Nothobranchius furzeri: one gene and its partners. The protein of the gene in region 6 purifies or fractionates together with the protein of the main gene of each other region. This does not show direct contact. Links are inferred from orthologs where the notes say so. Each region holds a gene or a part of one and is shown on either strand. Other genes may lie near its edges. The genes, in order: eapp, sf3a1, sf3b1, prkrip1, snrpa, snrpe and ddx46.

Evidence for each region.
Region 1: the proteins of snrpe (region 6) and eapp purify together in Homo sapiens (affinity purification with mass spectrometry; 3 studies listed by BioGRID and IntAct, counting the BioPlex papers as one, with this or other methods). This does not show direct contact. The link is inferred for Nothobranchius furzeri from reciprocal best matches to the Homo sapiens genes SNRPE and EAPP.
Region 2: the proteins of snrpe (region 6) and sf3a1 purify together in Homo sapiens (affinity purification with mass spectrometry; 3 studies listed by BioGRID and IntAct, counting the BioPlex papers as one, with this or other methods). This does not show direct contact. The link is inferred for Nothobranchius furzeri from reciprocal best matches to the Homo sapiens genes SNRPE and SF3A1.
Region 3: the proteins of snrpe (region 6) and sf3b1 purify together in Homo sapiens (co-immunoprecipitation; 4 studies listed by BioGRID and IntAct, counting the BioPlex papers as one, with this or other methods). This does not show direct contact. The link is inferred for Nothobranchius furzeri from reciprocal best matches to the Homo sapiens genes SNRPE and SF3B1.
Region 4: the proteins of snrpe (region 6) and prkrip1 purify together in Homo sapiens (co-immunoprecipitation; 3 studies listed by BioGRID and IntAct, counting the BioPlex papers as one, with this or other methods). This does not show direct contact. The link is inferred for Nothobranchius furzeri from reciprocal best matches to the Homo sapiens genes SNRPE and PRKRIP1.
Region 5: the proteins of snrpe (region 6) and snrpa purify together in Homo sapiens (co-immunoprecipitation; 4 studies listed by BioGRID and IntAct, counting the BioPlex papers as one, with this or other methods). This does not show direct contact. The link is inferred for Nothobranchius furzeri from reciprocal best matches to the Homo sapiens genes SNRPE and SNRPA.
Region 7: the proteins of snrpe (region 6) and ddx46 purify together in Homo sapiens (co-immunoprecipitation; 3 studies listed by BioGRID and IntAct, counting the BioPlex papers as one, with this or other methods). This does not show direct contact. The link is inferred for Nothobranchius furzeri from reciprocal best matches to the Homo sapiens genes SNRPE and DDX46.

Annotation. Positions count from the first base shown.
Region 1 is NC_091758.1:7,754,136-7,758,088, forward strand, and holds the start of eapp (E2F-associated phosphoprotein), read right to left. Parts: upstream 2,801-3,953; 5' UTR 2,693-2,800; coding exon 2,613-2,692; intron 1,064-2,612; coding exon 885-1,063; intron 707-884; coding exon 593-706; intron 526-592; coding exon 417-525; intron 340-416; coding exon 211-339; intron 1-210. UniProt on the Homo sapiens protein: May play an important role in the fine-tuning of both major E2F1 activities, the regulation of the cell-cycle and the induction of apoptosis. Promotes S-phase entry, and inhibits p14(ARP) expression.
Region 2 is NC_091757.1:36,513,764-36,517,263, reverse strand, and holds part of sf3a1 (splicing factor 3A subunit 1), read right to left. Parts: intron 3,418-3,500; 5' UTR 3,386-3,417; coding exon 3,338-3,385; intron 2,505-3,337; coding exon 2,392-2,504; intron 2,295-2,391; coding exon 2,087-2,294; intron 1,892-2,086; coding exon 1,634-1,891; intron 1,540-1,633; coding exon 1,465-1,539; intron 1,371-1,464; coding exon 1,220-1,370; intron 1,141-1,219; coding exon 944-1,140; intron 829-943; coding exon 711-828; intron 621-710; coding exon 313-620; intron 203-312; coding exon 1-202. UniProt on the Homo sapiens protein: Component of the 17S U2 SnRNP complex of the spliceosome, a large ribonucleoprotein complex that removes introns from transcribed pre-mRNAs.
Region 3 is NC_091754.1:36,033,485-36,036,837, forward strand, and holds part of sf3b1 (splicing factor 3B subunit 1), read right to left. Parts: intron 2,559-3,353; coding exon 2,413-2,558; intron 2,163-2,412; coding exon 2,016-2,162; intron 1,845-2,015; coding exon 1,719-1,844; intron 1,594-1,718; coding exon 1,372-1,593; intron 1,297-1,371; coding exon 1,114-1,296; intron 1,041-1,113; coding exon 929-1,040; intron 524-928; coding exon 403-523; intron 333-402; coding exon 201-332; intron 83-200; coding exon 1-82. UniProt on the Homo sapiens protein: Component of the 17S U2 SnRNP complex of the spliceosome, a large ribonucleoprotein complex that removes introns from transcribed pre-mRNAs.
Region 4 is NC_091742.1:17,911,967-17,914,751, reverse strand, and holds prkrip1 (PRKR-interacting protein 1 homolog), read right to left. Parts: upstream 1,417-2,785; 5' UTR 1,322-1,416; coding exon 740-1,321; 3' UTR 501-739; downstream 1-500. Other genes in the region: glrx5 (glutaredoxin-related protein 5, mitochondrial), read left to right, coding at 1,712-2,009.
Region 5 is NC_091753.1:42,104,708-42,108,646, reverse strand, and holds snrpa (U1 small nuclear ribonucleoprotein A), read left to right. Parts: upstream 1-1,301; 5' UTR 1,302-1,428; intron 1,429-1,738; 5' UTR 1,739-1,746; coding exon 1,747-1,822; intron 1,823-1,933; coding exon 1,934-2,106; intron 2,107-2,194; coding exon 2,195-2,353; intron 2,354-2,492; coding exon 2,493-2,657; intron 2,658-2,733; coding exon 2,734-2,822; intron 2,823-2,978; coding exon 2,979-3,138; 3' UTR 3,139-3,439; downstream 3,440-3,939. UniProt on the Homo sapiens protein: Component of the spliceosomal U1 snRNP, which is essential for recognition of the pre-mRNA 5' splice-site and the subsequent assembly of the spliceosome. U1 snRNP is the first snRNP to interact with pre-mRNA.
Region 6 is NC_091743.1:2,213,663-2,217,852, reverse strand, and holds the end of snrpe (small nuclear ribonucleoprotein E), read right to left. Parts: intron 3,142-4,190; coding exon 3,063-3,141; intron 704-3,062; coding exon 648-703; 3' UTR 501-647; downstream 1-500. UniProt on the Homo sapiens protein: Plays a role in pre-mRNA splicing as a core component of the spliceosomal U1, U2, U4 and U5 small nuclear ribonucleoproteins (snRNPs), the building blocks of the spliceosome.
Region 7 is NC_091750.1:60,377,314-60,380,813, forward strand, and holds part of ddx46 (probable ATP-dependent RNA helicase DDX46), read left to right. Parts: intron 1-1,185; coding exon 1,186-1,361; intron 1,362-1,481; coding exon 1,482-1,603; intron 1,604-1,704; coding exon 1,705-1,783; intron 1,784-2,473; coding exon 2,474-2,556; intron 2,557-2,670; coding exon 2,671-2,835; intron 2,836-2,927; coding exon 2,928-3,090; intron 3,091-3,183; coding exon 3,184-3,377; intron 3,378-3,500. UniProt on the Homo sapiens protein: Component of the 17S U2 SnRNP complex of the spliceosome, a large ribonucleoprotein complex that removes introns from transcribed pre-mRNAs.

The DNA of each region.
Region 1 (3,953 bases), on a different chromosome or scaffold from region 6:
AACACGCAGCTAAAATGATGAAACTCCATTGTTCCCTTTGTGCTCTGATACATGCGTGACACTGTAAATGATATGGACCCATCTGTGATGTGTCGTGCACCCTAGGGAACATTAGTGCAACCCGTTGTGATATTGCCATACAACTTTGTTTTTGGTTCATGCTAGCTGACACAATCAACAAGAACACACAGCAGGATAGTTGTGCCTGACCTCTGACAGTCCAGGCAGAGCGTCGTCATGCAGGCGGGACAGTTGAGAACAGCATCACTGTTGGGTAAACACCGAGGTTGGCCGGATTTGGACCGGGAGGCTGCATTTGGTTGTTTTCTGCTGTTATACCTGAACAGGAACAGAAATGGGTAAACGGCCTACAAGAAGACAAAAAAAGTACTAGTGGCAGTGTTTTACAGAACTACCGTCTGGCGTCTACCCAAGCCTGGTCCCTGTCATCCTCGTCTGGGTCATACAACAGCTCATCATTGGTAGGAACTACACGCTGTCTCCGCTTCCAGCTGGTAGAGCTGCCTGTAACAAACAGGTGAAATTAACCAAAATCAAAGTGAAGATGAAGTCGTGTAAAGTGACGTCGTACTTGGTGTGTCCTCGTCCTCTGAGTCAGAATCAAAGTAAACTTCGTCATACATCGGTGGATTGGGAACACTGGAACCTCCTACGCCACCGGCACCTGCTCCTTCACCACCGCTGTCTGAACAAAGAGAAACTTCATCACCACCACTTAAACTCTCAGGAATGATTTCATAGCAGTCGCGGAGGGCCACAATGATTATTTAATCACACACAATCATTAGTTGCCACGTCCAAAACAGGACACAATTTCCTTGGTCCAACTAAACTAGTTATAATAACATTTGTTGGTGTCCTACTAGCTGCTGGTGCCCAGGTTCCCTCCATGTTCCTGATGGTGGAGCTGAGCTCCGTCTCCATTTCCTTTTCAAAGTCATCCTCACTGGACGACTCGCTCTCCCCCGTCAGATACTCTCTGATCAGCTTCTTCTTCTGCTCTGCTGTCCCGTTCAGAAGCACATCCAGCTCATCCTCTGAACTGAAACACAACCACAAGAAGAAAATAAAAAACCTCAAATGTTTGGTCTGAGATGACCAGGGATGTGTACTTTTGAAATTCTGGCGATACGATACATATCACGATACAGGGGAGACGATACGATATATCAAGATATATTGCGATACATTCAGTCAGACGTTACAAGCAATTTTTTTTACTGAATTTATTGTAAGAATGTTTAACAGTCCAAACTGATACGTAACATGTTTAACATGAGGTATCTGAACCATGATGGAGGGATTTACATTTCAATGGTGGAAACAAAACCTGTTGCACACTGCTGCAAACTAGCGGGCGGCGATTAAATTGCACAAAACGAAAAGAAAATACACAAATGTTTGCATGTAAATTCTTTCAAGAATTAGATACACGGCTTTTGAATATCGATGTAATATTGCTGGAAAAAATATCACAATATATTGCCATATCGATATTGTCTTACATCCCTAGAGATGACTGAAAATCTACCCGACAAAACAAATGAGCAGCACTGGTGCTGCATCCCTTATTTTAACTATTACTACACAAGTGATTGACAGCTGCTGTCCGTCTCCATCTTCCGTTCCCATCAAAGTTATTTAAAATAAAAACAAGTTGAGTTTATAAGCTCGTCTGTTAGTAGCGATAACCACCTTACAGCAATACCAACAAACTAAGCACAATATAAGGCTACAAACTAGCTTCTTTTGGACAAACTGTTCCCTTCACTTCCACCACGAAGAAAGAGGTGTTCCAGTGAGTAGTATGACATCACATGCAACGGGAAAATATTTCAGCCAAGTAACTCTATGAGTCCAGGTCACATAAAACAGAAACACCAGAGCAGAACAACCAGATAATGCTCGGGGCATTGTGGCCTTGGGGTCTTGGATTCAGTGGGATAAGGTCTTGAGTTCTTCTGAGAGAGTGAATCTGTTAGCGGACTGAGTATGTACTAGCATCTCTTCTCGTCGACAGTGTTTTAATAATACTGTATAAAAGTTGTGTTGAGTTTCATCTGGACCACAGTGTACAAGTCTGCTCTATTATTTTTTTAACAAGATGTACAAAACTCTCGTTCTAGTTTTGTCGTAAATTAACCCAAGAAAACGAGTTTCTAAAAGCCCGTGTGGGTTCAAACCAAGCAGCTTAAATCCATGTTCATTTCCATGGATCATAATAAACAGGCTGTTTGAACCAGTAAAGGGACGAATCACCAGTTAATTTAAAACACCAACCTCACCTTAACGCGCCTCAACGCTGTTTCAGTTGTGATCATTTTGACCCTCTTTTTTATTTTAGAACGATTGCTCACAAACAGATGTCACATAAGATAGAAGGCAACATGCTTTACTCGCGTTTATACCAACATCAATTACGTTTATGAACAGTTTGTTTACATTCGCATAGTTTTGATCAGGCTTTGATGAGCCACCTATGTCCGATGCATCCACCACACACCATTTGAGCTGATGTCTAGTTCATGTAGAACACCGGAGATGCTAGCCACGATGCTAATGTTAGAAACCGTAGTTTATTTGATCCCTACCTGCTCGCTGCCCGCTCCTCGTCACTTGGCTCTTCGACTTCATATGAGTCAAAGTCCTGTGATTTATTCAGCATGTTCATTCTGACGGCTGAAAGTTTAACTATGGGAACATAATTACTTCTACGTAGTGACAGAAAACGACTAGTTCTATGTCACCTTTCCACTTGGTGGAAAACCAACTCCAAACTACCCTAGCGCCCTCTAGTGGACTGGAGGGTTGAGGCAGTTTTTTTTTAAACTGTTTTGTCCGGGAGTCGAACTGCGTGGGTTCGATTCCTGCTCAGTGCGAATACAAAAATAGAAATGTATGCGAAATCTGCATAATAACACTAATTATTACGTAAATAATTTTTCACAATTACCACTTTAAATTTAATTATAATTGTGATGAAGAACCACTAAGCTGTGAAATATATTTGTGATAATACACATGTAAAATTATAGAATATTTATGAAAAATTACATCTGTGTTGAAATATATTTGTGATGTTATCAATGGTAAATGGCCTGTATTTGATATAGCGCCTTCTAGAGTCATGGAACCCCTCAAGGCGCTTTACAACACAATCAGTCATTCACACACACATTCACACACTGGTGGGGAAGAGCTACGATGTAGCCACAGCTGCCCTGAGGCGCACTGACAGAGGCGAGGCTGCCGAGCACTGGCGCCACCAGTCCCTCCCACCACCACCAGCAGGCAACGTGGGTTAAGTGTCTTGCCCAAGAACACAATGACAGCGACAGACTGAGCGGGACTCGAACCTGCAACCTTCCGAAAACATATGTAATAAATGTATCTGTGTCCAAGATCATAAAAACATTAAAAGATTTAAAGTGTTTTTCGTTTATATATATATATATATATACATATATAAATACATATATACATACATATATATGTATATATGTGTGTATGTACATATTTATACATATACATATATATATATATAAATATATAAATGTATGTATATATATATATATATACATATATATATATTTATATATATATATATATAAATATATAAATGTACATACATACATACATACATACATACATATATATACATATATATATATATATATATATATATATATATATATATGTATATATATATATATATATATATTTATATATATTTATATATATATACATATATATATATATATATATATATATATATATATATATATATATATACATATATATATATATATATATATATATATATATACATATATATATACATATATATATATATATATATATATATATATATATATATATGTATGTATGTATGTATGTATGTATATATGAAACAAAAGAAGAAGTCTCAAAAG
Region 2 (3,500 bases), on a different chromosome or scaffold from region 6:
GCAAACTTGCAACAGAGGAAGGTATAGGAGGTGGTTGGTGAATTTCACTTGGCTTGCTAGGACCAATTTTCTCCTTAGTGTCATCTTCTCCCACCAGCCCTTTGGCTTTGTGAATAGCTTCAATTTGCTCCTGCAAAGTGATGTTAGCCTGTGCAGCCTGCTGTGTACGAGCCATGCTTCCAGAGTGGCCGTCCCAAGTAACCTGATGAAAGTAGAGGAGCACAAAAATGTATTAAGTGTGCAAAAGCCAACTTTAATGTAGTTTTTTGTTTGTTTTTTTAGATAAAAGACTGAGCTGCAAACATTTCTCACCTTCTCCTCTGGCTTCTGAATTTCCTCTTCACCTATCTTCTTACCGATGGCCGTCTCTTCCACACCAAAGATATCAGTACGCCTCTCAGCGAGCTGTTTCAAGCTGCTTTCAATGTCAAGACCTGGAGCATAGACCTCATCTTCTGTCTGCCTCTCTCTGATGCTCCGATCTCTTTGTTCCAGCCAGCGCGGGTCAAGCAGACCAATATGCATGTGCTCCTGCATCTTGCTGGCTGGAATCTTCTCACCAGTAATTGGTGAAATCAGGTATTCATCAGGAACTGCAATTGAGGGTGGAGGCTTGGAAGCTGTGAGAGAGAGAAACATTATGAGTTTATTGTATATAAAGTAGCATCTTGTCATAATACTTTTTTTTTTCAGCTAAAAAAGGAGGTTACCTTTGGGGTCATAATCCTTGCGAATAATAACTTGGTCTGGAGTTGGAGGTAAGGGAGGAGGCATAGGTTTTTCAGGTGGGAGCGGAGCTTTCCTACCTTCATCTTCATCATCAGAACCCTGAAGGAACAGCAATAAAAAGAATTGTTCATCGTTGTTTCCTTAACTTTTGTTCTCCAACTTATGAATTAGCTGTATGGATTACTGAAGTACAATGTGGTTAATCAGTTCTAACCTCATCCATGTCCTGCACTTGAGTGTCTTGATCAGGTTGTGAGGGTTGACCGTCAGCCCGACCCTCACGTTCATCATCTTCGTCCTCGCTCTCAACCTCCATCTCCACCTCCTCACTTTCTCCATACTTCTCGTAACGCTCTTGGATCAAGATGCGAGCACCAAGCTCTTCAGGATTAGTAGGTGGGGGGAAGTGACCTGTGGGAACAAATAGACAAAGTTAAACGATTCTAGTTGCTTTTAGGGGCTTTGATGTTTGTGCCTACGGAGGTGTTACCTTGTTCATTAGGCTGGAAATCCACAGTCTCTACCACTACAAAGTCATGCCAGTCAATCTGGGCATATGCTACTCGTTCTTTCTCCCGTTCCTCCTCTTCCTTTTTCCTCTCACGCTCCTGGTACTTTGCCCACTCAACACGGTATCTCACCTGATGTTTGTACACAAAAACAAATAATCAGGGGGGGGGGGGGGGGGGGGATACAAAATTGCTTCTTTTGGCAAATACTGCTGAAAGAAATTACCTGGTCCATCACTTCTTTTGGGTTCTCAGCCTCCTTCTTAAGCTTAGTCAGTAAGCCTTTGGGAGGGATCAATATCTAGATACATATAAGAAAAATATTAAGATACAGCCAAGTGTCCTAAACATAAAAATAACACCAATAAACTGAAAGATATAATCTGCTAACTCACCTTTGTGTACTGCTCAACCAGTTTGGTAAAGTAGTTAAAAAGGCTGTGCTGTGGCCGTAGAAAGTCAAACTGGTAGTTCCTCTGCTCTTTCTGCATGAGCTGGGTGAGAAACTGTCGGCCATTGCGAGCAACAAACTGGGCAGTGAGCTTGACAACATCCAGATCAAATGCAGAGATTGATGGAGGATCTGCAATGAACTCGAACTCAGGAGGTGGTTCTTTGGGGATCACAGTCTCCTGAATCACCTGTGACTGCACCTAACAAACACAGCATAAGTCATTTTTGGGAGAAAAAAAAAAAAAAAATAAATAAAATTATATATATATATATATATATATATATATATATATATATATATATATATATATATATATATATATATATATATATATATATATAAAATATAATATAATATATATATAAACTGTAAAAACAGAGGATAAACGTCTTACTTTCTGTGGGAGCTGCTGGGACTGCTGCAAAGCCTGCTGCTGCATAACCTTAGGCACAGCTGCAGATGGTTCTTGTGCTTTGCCCTCTTTAAATTCAGTAACCTTATGACGGTAATAGGCATGGTATGGATCGTTGGGGTTGAGGAAATTAAACTTTGGATTGTTGATCTCATTCTGACGGATTCTTGCTTCGAACTCAGGCCCATTCCTGAAAAAGAAAAACAAGCAAAAGACAAGAGTGTAATGGAAACAAATACTTGGGGAAATTCTCACTGCAGATCGGTGACACGTATACTGTAACTAACCTGGCAACAAAGCTGGCTGTCTTGTCCACTATATTCCGGACCTCAGGAGGAGGGTATATGATGCCAACAATGGGCTTAGTGGCCGGGGTTTCTTCTGCAGGTGCATCGTTTGGCTGACAAGATAGTTGACATATCAAAAGATAAAGACACAATGCAATTTATATTTAGGATCATAACTACGAGTGATTTTAGATTATGAAGAATTACACATTAACAATCATTGACTTGTCACAGTCTGTCACTGACTTGAGTGCTTAAAATTTAATGACTATCTAGCAACCAATCAGGGAAAAAAGCTGAACTATTGGTTAAATAGAAACATCTGTGTAAACCCACCCAAAAAAGCTAAAAATAAAAAATAAAGACATTAATAATTAAATAAAAATAAATACATCTAACACCAGCAAATGTCAATCAAAACAAAGAATGAAATAAACATGTAGGAAAAAGGAAAACATGTTTATTAGTGTTGAAAAAAATATCCGTTTAGAATGGGAAATGCCTAAAAAATCGGTCATAAAACTTATTTAAAAGCAGTTTTTCCTTTTCAGGCCTTTTTGATTTTATGTTATCAGGTATGGATCCTAATGTTTGTCTTTGAAGTAAGCGATCTCTATCTCCAATATGTTGCTTTTAAACAACATTAAAATATAATACGATGAATAAATGTTATTTGCTTCGACATAATTCAATGTGGAGTGGATCATTCTGGAGAGAAAAGTTAACGTCCGAGTCCTTGGGTCTCGAGTTATGCGGCTTTAGGGTACTCTGGATATGGTCGTATATGTAGAATAGTTAAAAGTGTAATTGTATTATTCAACACATTAAAAAAGTCCAGATGCTACATAGCAAAAATATCGAAACTCTATATTTTTGGTTCAATAGTTTAACGAAACTGTAAGTCTTGCTAGCTTGGCAGTTAGCTTGTGCTAACTTGTAGCATTACCTTGTTGTTGGGCTCCGGCTGAACTATCTGAACAGGCCCAGGCGGCATGGTTAGGTCTGCCTGTGAAAACCGATTGATACCTGAAACATACAACCCCCAGGAAGTGAATTTGCAATTTCAATGGAATTTCATACAAACATCCACATTAAAATCACAGCAATGC
Region 3 (3,353 bases), on a different chromosome or scaffold from region 6:
AATGGCCACAGTCGTGCACACTCTGTTCTGACGCTCCTGAACCTTCAGGTTGTTGAGCAGAGTGGCCAACACGTCATGAGGCCTGCAAAGAGACGGGACCAAAGATCAGCCATGTTTGTTCATTTAGCAGACACTTTTGCCTGAAGACTAAATTGCATGTTGTGGGACTCAAATGCATCTCCAAAATTTCATGTTCTCACCCAATGGCTTTGGCGATGTAACCAAACGTGTTGACGGTGGCTCTGCGAATAGCTTTTTTGTGAGCTTTGAGTAGCTCCAGCAGTTCAAAGCAAATCCTCATCCACTCCCTGGCTGACACATATTCAGCTCCCCTTGAAAAACAATCAAGAAGCAATGAGACTCAGTGGTGGACCAGCTGCTCAAGCCTGAAACTCCACTGACCTGTCGGCGATCCTGCCCACCAGATCGATGCAGTTCTCCTGCACTTTCTCATGTCTGTTCTTTAGGATGGGGGTCAAACGTGGAAGCAAGTCTTTGATTGGGGGAGTCATCTTGTGCATACCTGCAAAAACATCAGTGCAAATGCATCATGTTCCACGGCCCAAACAGCAGCAACCAAACACCAAACACTGAGCTGGAAGGCAGTGAGTCTAGGGATGGGTACCTTTGACATTTGAATCGATTCGGTACTAATTCCCGGTACCTAGGAATCTCATCTCTTATGAAGGATGGGTACCGAAACGAGGCACCGTTTCAAATGACGGGAATCGGTGCTCAGTCGGTACTATGGAATTCGGTTGGTACCTTAAAAAGTACAGAATTCGGTACCCATCGCTAACAGTGACACACATTTCTCTAACGTGAATTTGTGTCTAATGAACCGGTTTGAATGAAAGAAAAAAAAAAGAAACCAAAAACTAGAACCAAATATGAACTTCTGGCTATGGCAGAAGTATTCCCAACATACCAATAACGTTAACGATGGCCTTCAGAGCTCCCAGGATGCTGCCCAGCACCTCCGGGTACTCCTCTCCCAGGTACTCGTACAGCACCACACCCAAGTGACCCATGAGTTTCTCCTGCAGAAACAGAAACAAGGGTCAGTCTGTGTGCCACGTCACATGTGGCTCTTTGATGTCCAGTGTAGCCCACCTCCTGACAAGTCTTCATCACCACTGCGGTGCGAGAGATGAGGTCTGCTGCCTGCTGACGAACTTTGGCTGACTTGTTGTTGAGACGCCACAAGACTGTACCGCAGATCTGAGGCAGGTATGGCTTGACACGCTTCCCGAGGGCATTCACAACCGTACCAAAACCATTCAGCATCACAGAGTCCTGCAGACAGAAATGGAGGTATTTAACTACTCATGTTTGGAAAGAAAACTTTCCCACGACGGCGCTTTGTCCTACCTCTGTGGTCTGTTCCTGGAAAGCGTACAGAATCCCATCAATCAGCTGCTCCTCCAGTTTGTGGTCGATGTCAGCTGCACCCAGGTTTCCCATGATCTTTTCAATAGTCTCCATCACCATCTTCCTGTACTGCTCTGCCTCATCCTTCAGGTCATCAACAATGCGAGAGATGATCTCCGCTGCTCCAACTTTGTTAGCCAGCTCCACAGTGGTGTCCACCAGCTGAAAAAAGGTCAAGTAAAGCTCTAATGATTTCACAAGTTCCAATGCTACCGATGCTAAACTGCAGAGAAACTTTGGCATCTGCTCTCAGACGAACTACATCTAGTTTACTACCACTCACTGACCTGTCTATAGTTGCGTCTGTCGAGAGCCATCCTGTGCTGCCAGAAGTGCTTAAAGAAAGGGGGAAGGATCTCGGTCTTGATGTAGTTAGCTTCCACACCATCAGTGCCACAGCACTGCTTCACCACCTAGGAGACAACAAAGCATCGTTAGAAATGCATTTAGACATCCTTCAGTTTTAGACTGTCCACGGTGAGTAGGGCTCAAGAAGGTGCTTTACAAATACATTCAGCACTTTTCATCTGGACCAATAGCCCTGCGACGAGCTCGACAGGCAATAATAAAGAACTGCTCATTACCTTGAGTACGATCTTCTTCATCTCCTCATCTGGAGACTGGAACTCTCTGATAAGGATCAGCATCACCTCCCTTGTGTAGTAGTTGGCATACTCAGCATCCATCAGTGGGATCAGGTACCCGATAGCTTTGAGGAAAGCAGCCAGACCCTGATGACCAAACAAGCAGTTTACACTCTGAACTTGTTCACAAGTTCTTGTTTGTAAATATTAACGTTGGATTTTTTTGTCTGCTGCTCCCAGTTGTGAGGGGTCTTCTACTGGACCTAAACTGGGAGCAGCAGCTCCTACTGGGAGATGATTTAGCAAGCAAGTATTCACACTGCAGCCACGAGCAGACTCAGTGCTGGGTGTTGATCTTGCAGAGGACTTTTGATACTCTCCTGAGTGAGCTTCTTACCTTTCCTCTGTGCTGCCGGATACCCTTCCACAGAGGCTTCAGCACCGAGTCAAAGGACTCGATACCGTAGGGTGTAGCAGCTTCAGCCAGGGCAGCTATGGCCAAAGCACTGATGGTCCTCACCTTCTGCTGCTCATCCACCAGACCTGATAATCAAAAGAACTCAATGATCAGTACCCGGTATGAGAAAAGAGTAATGTTCCTAAAAGAGCACGTCTAACAGAATCAAACAGGACTCTAAAACCCAAATGTAATAAGATGATAAACATGTAGAAAAATAAAATCTCACTGCTGCCTCCTCTACGTCTGTAGACTCTACGGCTGAAATGTAGTTTTTCCTCCAGAAAGAGGACCCGCTACAGCACCACTCGGTGGTGGTGCGAGTTCCTGAGCTAAACTTTCTCTAGAGAAATGGACATGTTTGACCCAAAACAAGCGTCACCTTTCAGATGTTTGCTCTGACCTCCACTAGAGCTGAAGCGTCAGATCCGGTAGTCGACGCACCACACCCACTTGTTGCATCCCCAGGAGTTTGTAAATAGAGGAGGAATCTGCCTGTTTTTCCTCTAGCTCGCCCTCTTCTTCGCCTTCACTAACATCTCCACCAAATACTGAAGACCCGGAACAATGTCCGTCTGCTACTAGATTCCTTTCCTGTTTTGCCCGCCTTCGTTTCACGGCAACGGACAACAACTTCCGGGGTCAGATGCGCTGCTTCGTGTCTACCGCAGATGTAGAAAATCACCGGGAGCGTTTCTCCCTTCATAAAGGAGCGTCTTTCAGACATTAGGAGAGCTGTTTTGGTGGTAGCAGTCTCTCCTCCATGCTGGTCTGTTTGCCGCTGGGTGTTTTTGGTTTATTTAAACTTGGTAACTTGAGCTTAACGTTGGTAAAGCTACTGTTAGCATTTTCGCTAACAGCTTCTTGCGTTTGGATAAGCC
Region 4 (2,785 bases), on a different chromosome or scaffold from region 6:
GTCTATTAGTCTTGAGCTAATAACTAATAATTTGATAGGGTCTACGGTAGCAGAAGAGTGCCCACCCTAAATTTGAAGTTCTCCTTTGAGAGCAAAGGCCTCACTTCAAAACCAAACTAGAAAAATGGAATAAAACAGGTAACAGTGTGACAGCTGACAGTGTCTGACAGGAAAAGCTCTCCCTTGTTCAAACAATATCTGGCTGCCAGGATTTCCTCTACCTGCCTCAAGAAAGATGAGAGCCACTGATCAGGGTCATCACCACCGTGGAAAGCAGGAGACTGTCCAAGGAACATCGCACATGAAGCTCCAGATCCTCCAGAAGCCATGCCTTTTAATCCCTGGAGTTGCTTTCTGCAGCCTTTTGGAGCCCACAGGTGACGAGTTTCACCAGGAGCAGAGACAAGGCTGCAAAACCCCCAAATATAGACACTTATTTACTGCTCAGACATGCAAAGTAAATGTTTTAAACCCAATAAAAATGGAACTCTGCACAAAACTTTTTTTCTTATTTTATTAAAAATATGGTAATCGGATTTAAAATAAAGAAAAGCTGAGCACATGTTTAGTTTAGATGCAAACATCAAGTCTTTGTACAAAGTGAATCCAAACAGATTTAATGATCTGTGTAGAAACGTCAGAGTCCAAACATGCCTGAGATCTCCATCCCCTTCCCTTTTACATGACATATATGATGTTGCTTCTCTGAGGCTTCACACACAAAACATGGCTGATGGATTCATTTCCTCCCCATGATGAAGCTGGGAACCTCGGCATCATCATCTCCCTCTTCCTCTTCTTTCTCCTCCTTCTTGTCCTCCTCGCTGCTCTCGGAGTTCTCCTCTGCCTCCTGCTGGTTTTTCTCCTCCTGTTTAGCCTTCTTCGCCAACAGTTTCTTCTGCTTCAGCTTTTCCCGCTTGTTCCTCCGCTTCGCCGTCCGCTCCTCTGCCGCCTTCTTGTTTAGCTCCACTTTTTGGAGGTACTCCTTGTCCTTGTCTTGCTTCGCGGCAACTTTATCCAGGAAGTCCTGCCTCTGGTACTCTCTGCGGCGGAGGTGCCGATAGACATGGAACTCCCCGCTGCCTGCGCCGGCGCTGGAGCCCATGACATCCCGGACGAACTCCGGCGGAGCCCGCGGGTTCCACTCCTTGGCTCGGTCCGGGATGGGAGCAGGCTTGTCGGGGTTTCGCATCAACCGCTCCAACTTTAAACGCTGTTCATCTGCCGGAGTTTTAGCTATTATTAGAGGCTGCGCCTCTTTTCCTCCAGGTTTTCCTCCGGGCTTCCCTGGCTTGTTATTTTTCTGCGTGTAGGCCGCCATCTTTGAAAATTTCTTCTTCGGCTGCTTCCGTTTCGTACAACTCACCCCGGAAGTACTTCACGACTTCGAAAGGAATTTTTGAAAAAATAAAAAAGTATGACAAGTATAACAATTACTAGTTATTTAGGTCGTAGTAAGGCTGTAATGAAAACATTAATCAATATTTAGAAAGTAATTTGCGCAACTGACGTTGAGTTTTTTTGATTGACATTTGAATAAACCAATAGTAAAGCATATTCGATTTCAGCCAAGCTCAGTTGTCCAATCAGCATCCAGATCCCGCCTCCTAAGCGTATGTGTTGACGGACGACTTTCTCTATTGCCTCTGAGCTGAACTTGTCCGTTTACTCGCCTTTAGTTTTGCTCGACGAACGACAAAACTCATAAAAGATGAACAGTTTAATTAGATCTACTGCCAGGTGTCTCCGCTCGGGCGCGGCGGTCTGTGTGCCTAGGCAAGCGGATGGACGCGTGTGGTCGGCCTCGGTCAGGTTTCTGTGCGCGGCGGCGGACCTCCAGAAGGACCTTGGTGAAATGGTGAAGAAGGACAAAGTGGTGGTGTTTATCAAAGGGACGCCAGCCCAGCCCATGTGTGGCTTCAGCAACGCGGTGGTTCAGATCCTCCGGATGCACGGAGTGGACAACTATGCTGCTTACAACGTTCTGGAGGACCAGGACCTACGAGAAGGTCGGTACAGGGGCAACAGGTTCTCCTGATACCCTCTTTAACGATTTAATCAGTGTCCTCGTTAGCTTTAGCCTTTCATTTACCAGGTCAGTTGCTGTCTTATTCAAACTAACCACACCTCTGAGATGTTTATCCTTTTATCAGAGGCATGCAGCAGGACACACGGGGTGTGGTGAACCACCACTCACATCTCAGACTCTAGGCTCTAACCAGCTCATTTATTGTGCTTTAAATCTCATATTTGCGATTAATGAATGATTCTACTTTTTCAGGAGCGTTTTTGCTCAGCATCATAACTGAGTAGATATGTCCAGATATACACCAATTCTGGTTTTTAGGGCTAATACTGATGTCTTGCTGTTCATCTCTGGCCCAAGTACAAACTTTGATATGGACTGTTTGCGACGAGTAAGCACTTCTAAATGTACAAACTGAACAACTCTAACAGAACATGCTCTATATTGTCCGGTTGTGAACTGAATTCAGATTTTTTTTTTCTGGGTACTTCTTTAAAGTTTTAATGTGCATCGTCGGTGTGTTTTGCCCTTGTTCTGCCAACTTTACATGCAATGACTTTTTCTAACGCAAGGCAACTGTTAGGCTTCAGAGGGTAAATAAAGGTTTGTTATGCGGAAGACAAAATATAAGCAGGCTCTCAGAGGGGAATATATAATATTCATATTTTTAAATATTCCAAAATGGGCTCTAATAACCTCAGAGAACATAACCTCCAGTTTTGTTAGTAACTAGTACATCTCCCTTCACTTGTGAGTACA
Region 5 (3,939 bases), on a different chromosome or scaffold from region 6:
ACAAAAGCAGTAGGTAATGGTTAAGTACCTAGTAGGTACAGATTAGTACCTTCTAAGTTGGGAGAAGGCTTCACTTTCCATCATCTTGCGATGGACGGATGCCGACAATGGACAAAAAAGTGACAGACGTGTGAAGTCAAGATGAAACAGTGATGTTAAATCACTGTGATGTTGCAAATTATCTGCATTGTTCATGAAGTTTACAAAAAAAAAAAGTCCACAGGCACTACATTCATTTGGGATTTGTTCCTTAATGCGTTCAAAGATTAGTCCCTGAATAAAACTGTTGGGTTTTCACCAGTATGTATTGGTTAACTACCTATTCTTCCCTGCTTCATTACTCATTACTCCCTAAGTCGTTCCCTAGTTACGAAGCATAATTTTACGTACCTTATTGTAAAGTTACTGTTATTCTTCTTAGGTTGTCTACTCTGCCTTTTTTTGACGTCATGTTTTTCCAGTATTTCTGATTTACTGTTCAATTCAATTCAAAAATACTTTATTAATCCCAGGGGGAAACTGATTGCTGTAGTATCTCAGAATAATAATAATAATCAAGTCATCAAAGAGTTATTGTATATTACAATGGCTGTTGGCAGGAAGGATCTCCAGTAGTGTTGCAGCGAAACTGAAGAAGCCTCTGACTGAAGACACTCTTCCGTTGTCGGACAGTCTTGTGAAGAGAATGCTCACGGTTGTCCATAATTTTCTTGATTCTCTGGAGAATCCTTCTTTGCATTATCTCCTCCAGTGGTTCAGAAAGTGCCGAAACTCTGACTGAGTCCTTGAAAGGGCTTGGAGTTCCTCCATCTTGTTGGCCAGTGATCTCACATTGCCCATTATGATCGATGGGAGAGATGGTTTGAATTTCCTCTTTCTCTGTCTCCGTTTTGCTCCCGCTCTGCACCCACGCTTCTTGCGTTTTAGTTAATTTGGGATTTGTCGCGTCAGTTGAGGTATTATTTCAGCCTTTTCAATGTTAAACAGCTGCTCCCGATTGTAAACCAGCTTGTTGCCATGGTTACGCATCATAACAAATGCTCAAAAAGTGAAAAAACCTAAACAATAGCAGCAAAAGTCCTCCAAGCTTCACAGCACCAGAAACAGAAAAGTAAAGTGTCCAAAAAAATACCGTTTTTCTTGAGAAACTAGAAGAAAAAATGTCCAAGAAAAGGCTAAACTTACATATAGTTAACAGAGCTACTCCAACATGCAGCCACCCAGAGCAGCGTAAATAAGAAGAAAAACCATTTTAGTTTTAGCCATTGTAAGTTAAATGGTGTTTTGAGTTTCGCTATTTTGATTTACACCGTGTGGTGGCGGTAATTCACCAGAACGGTTTGGTAACCAACAAATAAGACAAAGAAGAAGAATTTCTTCCTCTTGTTTTCTGGGGAAAAAAGTCTCGGAGCTTTCATTCAATTTCAGGTTGGTACTACGTCAACATCTAACGCGTTTTACATGGTTAAGTGCATTTTAACTGTTGATTTAAAATATTTTTGACAAGCTTAAACGATTTGAGGTAACGTTGGAACTAGTAGAAGTATTTAGGCAGATTAATGACGCTAAATGCTGTTAGTTAGCTTTTAGCTAACACGCTGTTGTTGCCTTCCGCCATGTTTGTTACCATTGCGTTTAGATGCTGGATTTTTGAATGAAATTGGACTTGAAACTGCGTGAAAATAAGCACATGTTTGAGTCTTTATTTTATTTTTAGCTATTTTATTTATTCTCCTAGCCTTAAACATGACCACTCCAGCAGAGGTGCGCCCCAATCACACGATCTACATCAACAACCTAAACGAGAAGATAAAGAAAGATGGTGAGTTTCGCATCATTTTCTTTCCTTTTCTTTGTTTATTTCACGCACAATTAATGCAAAGTCTCCTTTATTATTGTTATTGATTATTTGTTGTTTGTGTGTCTCCCTCAGAGCTGAAGAAGTCCCTTTATGCCATCTTCTCTCAGTTTGGGCAAATTTTGGACATTTTGGTCGCACGAAACCTGAAGATGAAGGGTCAGGCGTTCGTTATCTTTAAAGAGATTAACAGCGCTTCTAATGCATTAAGGTCCATGCAGGGTTTTCCTTTCTATGATAAACCTATGGTACGTCTATTAAACATGTTTAATAATGCACAATTTAGACATTTCTGATGGAAGTACACGTGTGACTCAAATATATACTTTCTTGCAGCGAATCCAGTACTCTAAAATGGATTCGGATATTATAGCTAAGATGAAGGGGACTTTTGTGGAGCGTGACCGTAAAAAAGAAAAGAAGAAGCCCAAACCTGAATCTACAGGAAGTAAAAAAAATGCTGCAGCGATTGCTGGGGTACCTTCTGCAATCCCAGTGAGTGCACTAGGTGTTTTTTACAATCATGGTTAAACAATCTAGATATTTGTTAGTGAAGTAACGGCAGGTTTTAGATGCATTAAGAGTTAAAAGCTCAATTAACATGAATAGAAACTAAACGTTTGTCATTCTTTAGGGAATGCCACCAATGAACCAGGCTCCTCGCATGATGCACATTCCAGGCCAGCCACCTTACATGCCCCCTCCTGGAATGATGCCTCCTCCTGGGATGGCTCCAGGCCAGATTCCTCCTGGTGGGATTGCTCCTGGTCAGATGATGCCAGGACAGATGCCTCAGCAGGTAGCTTGTGTTCTTTTTCCTCACAGAACGTTTTGTTTCCTGTCCTGGTAGTTTAATCCTTACTCTCTTCCCACAGGTTTCAGAAAATCCACCCAACCACATTCTCTTTCTCACCAACCTGCCAGAGGAGACGAACGAACTCATGCTGTCCATGCTCTTCAACCAGTCAGTACTCATTTTCTAGTCATACATTTAAACAGATGCGTAAAAATGGATCAACTTTGACTGTTTTGTGATGCTAACATTGCAAATAATCTGAGAATTTAATTCTCTCAAACTGTTTTTTCTGTAATTGTAACTGAGCTGCTCTGTGCGTTAAAGGTTTCCCGGCTTCAAAGAGGTGCGTCTTGTTCCTGGTCGTCACGACATCGCCTTTGTGGAGTTTGAAAACGAGGTGCAGGCTGGCGCGGCACGAGATGCTCTGCAGGGCTTTAAGATCACTCAGACGAACGCCATGAAGATTTCTTTTGCCAAGAAATAACGCATCTTCCACCAGGTCCTGATTTAATTTGCATACATGTCCGTACATGTAAGTATCTGAGTCAAGTTGCTGTTAAGAAAGTTGGAGTGAAAAACTGGGAGCTCTAACTTTGTGCAATGGTTTGGCTTTAATCTGTAATGCTTGCGCAACTTGGTGTCCACTTCTCTGTTTTTCTGTTTCATAGTTTAAATTTTTTATTATAAACTGTTAAAGCATTGCACCCAGTGTCTGGTCCACCAGACATTGTACCTGGAGCTATTCTTTTTTTTTTATCTTGATTAAAATTTGAATTGGTAAAACACTAGACTGTTCTTTCTTTCGCTGTGTGTGTGTGTGTGTGTGTGTGTGTGTGTGTGTGTGTGTGTGTGTGTGTGTGTGTGTGTGTGTGTGTGTGTGTGTGTGTGTGTGTGTGTGTGTGTGTGTGTGTGTGTGTGTGTGTGTGTGTGTGTGTGTGTGTGTGTGTGTGTGTGTGTGTGTGTGAACAGGTTTGAGCATAAAGGATAACTCAACATTTCCTGTCTGAAATGTCAAAGAAAGGAATTGAGTTTAGAGTTGCATTTGCTTAATCAAGCCAAGCCAACTTTGTTTATAAAGCACTTTAAAAACAGCCCTCGCTGACCAAAGTGCTGAACATAAAAACATAAAAGCATAAAATAGAATACAGTGTAAGGTTAAAAGCACACTAAAATAAAACACAAATCAAATAGAAATCCAAAACGTGTTGAAAGCCAAGCTAAAAAGGTGGGTCTTTAAAGATGATTTAAAAGTTTCCAGTGAGGAGGCCTTTCTAAGATGTGCCGG
Region 6 (4,190 bases):
GATAATGCTGCCGCTGTGAGCTGCAGGCTAAATATACCATCCTCCTCCATTAGCTGGCGGGCTAAAATGGCTCAGCCACTCCTAACGGATGTCATGGCTGAATGAGGGAATCCATCCCAGTTGCTCATACAGAACACAAACATGAGACACGCGCCAGACCAAACCACGAACACCGTCACGTTAAACCCGCACAAACCAGACAAAATTAACGAACCTACCGTGGGACTTAGGTGAGTTGCTCCGCCGGGCGTTGGCAGCTTCGCGCTCGGGGTTTCCCAGTCAACTGAACAGGGGCACGCTGCGTACGTACTGAGGTATTACGTCATCCCGCTGAAACAACTCCCTTCACCGAGTCTGCCTTCAGCTACGAGCCCGAGTTCTGCTTCATTTATTCATTTACTAACATGTGCACCTGTGTACGTGGAGCAGTGCTCCGTCACACCGTCACCAGCTGGAAGTGTCGCTCAGAGACCTTCTTACACTTAGACAGCAACACAAACTGAAAGAAAACACTTTATTTTCAAAACTGTTCAATATGGTTGAGGAACAATTAAAATATCCATGTAATTAGAACCCAAATAGCCCCAAAATGGAAAAACATTTGCTCGGAAAAAAAAAAAAAAAGAGTCACTGGCATCTCCACGTCTCTAGTTGGACACACTCTGCAGCAGGGTGATGTTGTCTCCCTTCAACATGATCCTCCCTGAGACACAAACAGACGCAGAAGCAGACAGGTCAGTTCACAAAACGAGAGACAAAGTGTCCGTTTACACAAATCAACATGGAATCCCCAACACCAGGAATTCTAGAGCCTCAGTACAATCACAGGGTGGCAGCAAGCCGCTCAACGGGCCGCCCTGCTGGACCCAGCAGGAGCAGCTTTACAGAGGGTGTTCCTCATACACACACACACACACACACACACAATAGGGCTGGTGATATGGCCTAAAATTAATATCACGATACATTGAGGATTTCACCTCGATAACGATAAATGGACGATAACTACAGGTGTGTGCAGAGACCAAAGTTGTCCACTAGATGGGGCTGTCACATGTGTTACATTGGTCTTGTTCGAGATGAGCCAGTTCTGCGCAGATTAGATCACCGGTGATCAGCGAGCAGTGCTTGCCGGTTGTCCGATTTGACGCCGACTTGCTCTGACGTCATGCCTACGTAGGCAGCGATAACCTCGTGAGATCAAGGCGGCTGCAGATTTTGAAGCAAGGCGCTGCAGTTGGTCTCCATCAGCTGCAAAACCTAGAGGACGGAAACGCCTGGCTCTCACCTGATCTAAGATCTGATTGGTTCATATTCTGATCCAAACATCCGGTGGTAGAATGCGAAATGTTAAGTCACATGTATTCTGTAAATCATGTTACGTTGATGATGCAGTAGGATTATTTCCAGCTGTGTGTGTGTGTGGGGGGGGGGGGGGGGGTGGGGGGTTATGACACGTCTCACCTTCATGTTAATATTGTTTTATTTGATGCCCTCCACTCTGAACTGCACCAATCCAGCGACTGCTGCATTTTAATAACTAGTATTAAAGGTGAATACACCAACATTTGCACAAGAATAATTTCTGTTTTAAACTCTCAGTGACACACTTTGCAGGGGGGGGGGGCATTTAATTTTACTTGGCGTCTGGAAAAACATCTCCTTCTGCCCCCCTTTATTTTGGTCCAAGACCATTGGTGGGCTGGCCCTGTTAAACACCTTCTACACCCCTGCTTAGTAGACTTAATGAAGTATTTTTAAGCCAGTATAAAAATGACTGAAACACAAATGTACATATTTAGCATTATTGACCAATATCTTTGATTTAATTTATTGTTAAGAACATCAAGATGCATTACAGTGAACATTATAATAAAGTACATGTTTCCAGTGCAGAGAGGAGACGACCCATAGAAGTACTGGTCTGATCTCATTTCAGAGAAAACTAGAACAGGTCAGATGCACCTAATAAATAAAATTACTAACATAAACTCAGGAATCTGTTTCTTTGCTTCATTGTTCTGGTGCTGAAAACATCACTAATGTGGATCAGATACACAGATGAATGCACCTTATTTATTATTAGGAAATGAGTGGGTGTGGTTTACATCAATACATTATTTTACATCTGAAATTGATATGGATTGATCAGAAGTTGATATGTGTGTATTGTTTATTTGAAAACTATTTACAGAGCAGCCTCAGAACTGAGATTAAATATGTTTGATCACAATAGTAAAGGAACTATTACAGAACACGTTGTTCAGTAAAATCAGAACATTAATGTTTAAGTGCATGAACTAATGCATCTGAACTCATGCAGTAGGAACTAGGAAATATGAGATACTAGAACATTTTATTTTTATTTGATTTAACTGATTTTTCCTAACGTTGTTGGCATTTTTCCCCACACACACTTAGACAAAACGATGATATACTTCCTAACAAAATCTCTTCAGCTTCATCATCAGAGTCTGACGACCATGGCTGTGTAAAAGCTTCATGTTTCCTGAAGCCCTACTGGAGCTTTGGGAGCCTTTTCCCTGGTGAAAGCACGTCATTCTCCTTGTTTAGAGGTGCTTCTACCTCTTCACTTCCAGAGGGGTTGCCTCCAAAAGTTGGTTTTCCAACGTTTCCTCAGAGCCTGACTTCTTCTTGTCAGCACCAAGTTGCCTGATTAGAGCTCCTTACATTCCTCCTGCTGCTTGTTTGTTTTCTGAAGCTGTTGTTGTCTTTCCTTGCTAATCAGGAGCTCGAGTCAGTCCTTCCACCTTTTTAGAGTGTTTTACGGGATTTTCTTATTCAATGATGGTGGAATATTTTTCTCAATACCCGGCTGCAAATCTTCTCCAGCCTTTGATCTTTTTCCCAAAGAAACATGTCAAATGTGTGAGTTTGGTGTTCTAGCGCTGCTTTTGTGAGAAGAAACCATCAGGCACCTGCTTAGGTTAAGTAATGCAGGAGAACTGCCTGTTTGATGTGAAGAAAATGGAGAATCAAACTGAAGTCATAATTCAACCTTCTCTTAAATCAGTTTAGCCCTAGTCAGCATGCACTCTTACCCAGTGGCTTTCTGTTCTTGGTCTTCATGTGGATTTCTTCAGAGTCATCTAGAACCAGGTTCATGTATTCATCAAAGCCCTGAAACATAAGCAGAGACTCAGACTGAAGCAGAGCAGCACTTCACCTGGTCACAACTCTTTAACTCGTAGTGGGATTATCTCTACAAGGCCCATCAACCTGGCCGTGTTTAAGATCACATCAGTTATGGTCGTACACCGCCCGGTAGGACCGTCACGTCCGCACGACCAGGTTCTCAGCTCGGTGTTCAGTTTCAGACATCCCATAAAAACAATACTAGCTCATCACCATGAAGGTTAGTCTGCTGGAGAAAATACACACAAATGCACCTTCCTGAGTGACTGAAAACCAGAGCTGTAGCAAAGCTTCGATGACGCCAACGTCAGATCCGGTAGTCGACGCACCGCGCCCACTTGTTGCATCCCCAGGAGTTAGTAAGTAGAGGAGGAATCTGCCTGTGTTTCCTCTAGTTCGCCTTCACTAACATCTCCGCCAAATACCGAAGACCCGGAACAACGTCCGTCCGCTACTAGATTCCTTTCCTGTTTTGCCCGCCTTCGTCTCCCGGCAACGGACAACAACTTCCGGGGTCAGATGCGCTGCTCCGTCTCTACCGCAGATGTAGAACATCACCGGGAGCGTTTCTCCCTTCATGAAGGAGCTTCTTTCAGACATTAGGAGAGCTGTTTTGGTGGTAGCAGTCTCTCCTCCCTACTGAAAACAGCCGTCTACTCAGGGTCTGAAATTAACACTCGCCACTCGCCAAATGCGAGCAAATTGCTCCATTTGGCGAGTAAATTTTTGAGCTCTACCTGCCACCTGGCGAGTAAATGTTTGCACCAAATTAGTTATGTTTATCAGTCATCTTCCATGGATTTCTGATCCTCCTCCCGCCTGCATGCAACGTACACAAACGTACGCGAAACGTGAACGCCGCATCCAACGTCATTTCCACCTATCCCATTCAATCAGTTTATCAAGTTAGCCGTTAGCTTCGTGTTAAAACTAGCGGTGAAATGTGGCGGTTTTTAACTGGAGTCAGCCAGCCTTCCAAAAGAAAACTCGTCGAACTGGAAGAAAACCACCAGGACCAGTGGCAACCAGAAGAT
Region 7 (3,500 bases), on a different chromosome or scaffold from region 6:
ACTTTCCGCACCGCACACCGAGGAAATTTTCTAACCACGCAGACGGTCGGGCGCGGAAAAACATGGCAGACTGGCAAGAACTAGTATGGCAGAGGTTCGTAAATACAGACATTTGTATGATTCAGCTCTCAAAGATCACCGTGATCAACATGTTGTTAATAATTCTTGGAGAGAAATAGCTCGCACTGTCGGATAAGACGAGGACGCTGTTAAAAATGCTGGAATGCCATGTTGTAAACAGTAATTTCTACTTCTACTATGGTGTAGTGTTGGATGCATGCCTAGAGCTCCATGCTGCCCCCTACAGTTTGGGAGAATATTGGCTCACCGCAGAAACGAGCCGCATGAACCATAAACACTGCGAGTTGTGAAGCGCGTTCCATCCGCGAGCCGCATCACCAAGCGGAAAGTGAATGCGTCACGCATAAACCAAGCCTTAGCCGGAGAATGGAAACAGATGAGGAAATGCATGGATTAAAAAAAGCCACACAGATCTTCGTAAAACTATAAACTAGCAATCTTGGACTCAACCATCTTCCCACGCAACGGGGATGGTTGTTGTTGGTTTTTGACACCAGCAGAGAGCAGAGCGTGACTCAGCTAGTAGAAGCTAACTGTTAGCATTAGCAACGCCACAACATGGCAGAATTCCTTCAGGCTTGAGTTATTTGTGCAGATAAAACATCAACATTGCAAATCAAACAGGTTCAGTGCCAGAGTCACGTTGCTGTAAGCCAATCAGAGGTGAGATGTCCAAAAACCGCGAATGAGCTAGACTGCAAATCCTGCCGTTTTTCACCCAGGCATTTATTTATACTAGAGACCGCTGCAAATGTATTGAAAAAAATTTGTGGATGACAGCTTTAACCCCCAGAAACCCAAATTTAGAAAACAACTGCAAAATCTTTTTTTAACCTTTCACATGTTGTTCTAGGAGGCCAAATAAACGGGCCTATTTACACATTTTAACGGCCAATAGTGTTGCAGAACTGAACAATAGGACCTATTAGCAATGTAAATGTGGTTTTAAAAAGAAAAAAAAATGGGGAAGGTTTATTTTTGTAGACTTAAATCTGATGTTGTAATATTACAACCGTGGGTCTCTGGGGGTTAATCAGTAATATTTTAGGATGCAGTGTTTTAACTGATGTAAACATCACAGGATGTTTTCTGTTGTTCCCCCAGGCACAGCTACGAGAAGCCCACACCCATCCAGGCTCAGGCCATCCCTGCCATCATGTCAGGCCGAGACCTCATTGGCATCGCTAAGACTGGAAGTGGCAAAACCATTGCTTTCCTGTTGCCCATGTTCCGACACATCATGGATCAGAGACCGCTGGAGGAGGCAGAGGGACCCATCTGTAAGGATAATTTTATACGTCCTGTATACGTCTTTGTCAGGACTCAAAAGAATGAATGACAAATGTGTTATGATTTTGGTGCTTTAAACTGTTTGATGGCATGTTTCTGCATCTCCACAGCTGTAATCATGACTCCGACCAGAGAGTTGGCGCTGCAGATCACCAAGGAGTGCAAGAAGTTCTCCAAATCACTGGGACTCAGAGTAGTGTGTGTTTACGGAGGCACGGGAATCAGTGAACAGGTAAAAACCCTCATAATGCAGCCGTGTGATGCTTTTTCCAACATGTTGTTGTCTTTTGAGCCCTTTCACTGATACCTTCTTCTCATGCTGGTGGATTGCAGATTGCTGAGCTGAAAAGGGGAGCAGAGATCATCGTCTGCACACCGGGGAGAATGATCGACATGTTGGGAGCGAACAGCGGTGAGTTAATCCACCTCCGTATTCAGACTTCATATTAGGGTTTTCAGATTTATTTGCAGCTTTTTTGTAATAACTGCATGGTTTAAAAGTGACAGTATATGATTCAAATCGGTACCTTGTTACTAAACTGTCGACATTATTTGGCAATTTTTGGTTCTACAAGACAATGATGTTTTCTGAAGATCAGAGCGAGTCCAGGTAGGTGGACCTGGCGCTGCCTCCACAGTTCTTGTGTCTCAACGCTGGGATTAATCAGACTGAAGAACAATTTAGATCAGTTAGGGTCTGTAGTCTGTTTCTTAAATGTAATTAAAATGTGATTTTATTATATTTGACTGCTAATCAGGGGTTCTGTTGTTTCCACACATGCGAGGTAATCTGTAATATGTTTCCCTTGTAGGTGAAGGGGCTCCGTCTCTTGTTTTGTATCTTGAGGCTGTTTTCTGACTTTTATAGGTCCCTCATGTCCCTGAGATGGTACGCAAGAATAAAGACGAGCAAATCCAGGAATTCAAAATGTCAAAAAAATAAACTCCTAAAGAAAACATGGATGCAGTTTTTAAATAATTTCAAGTAGCTTTATCCAGATAACGGACTGTGTTTGCCAGATTATAATGTTGGCTGTTTAGAGAAAAGAGCTTTTCTCATGGTTGATTTATATTCCCGATGCTCCCCTTCCTCAATATGTAGGTCGGGTAACCAACCTGCGCAGGGTTACCTACGTGGTGTTGGATGAAGCAGACAGGATGTTTGATATGGGTTTCGAACCGCAGGTGAGCATCACCCAGATTTAAACTATTTTTCATCCTTGGTTTTAGAGACTAGATGGTTACTTGCATGTATTTTTGGTAAACTCGCAAAAAAAAAAAACCGTATGTCACTTGCAGGTGATGCGTATTGTGGACAACGTGCGTCCCGACCGACAGACGGTCATGTTCTCCGCTACCTTCCCCAGAGCCATGGAGGCGCTGGCTCGCAGGATCCTTTCAAAGCCCATCGAGGTTCAGGTCGGAGGTCGCAGCGTCGTCTGCTCTGACGTGGAACAACACGTGGTACATATTTAATAAACTCCACGTCTAAATCGCCAGAATCATTTTATTCCACCAGCTCATCCTCTGCTGCTTCCCTTTTCCCCCTCCTGTAGCTGGTGATTGAAGAGGATAAGAAGTTCCTGAAACTGTTGGAGATTTTAGGTCACTACCAGGAGAAGGGATCCGTCATCATCTTTGTGGACAAACAGGAGCACGCGGACGGATTACTCAAAGACCTGATGAAAGCCTCGTACCCCTGCATGTCTTTACATGGAGGTACTGAGTCGCGTTAGGATCTGCGTCGATCATCTTACTTAAATCTGGAACAAAGGGGTCAGTGTTTGAGATTTAGTTTCGCTGTCATTTCAGGAATCGACCAGTATGACAGAGACAGCATCATCAATGACTTTAAGAACGGAGCCTGTCGCCTGATGGTGGCCACCTCTGTAGCAGCCAGAGGCCTGGATGTCAAACAGCTGATCCTGGTGGTCAACTACAACTGTCCCAACCACTATGAGGACTACGTACACAGGGCGGGACGTACAGGCAGAGCAGGCAACAAGGTTGGTCTAATTTTTTCTTTTTTGCAGAAGTTATTTTGGAAATATAAAATAAAAATTCTCATGTAGAGGTAGATTTGTGTTTTTTTTTTTTACTTTTAGTTTCTTTGAGTTGCTAGAAATAAA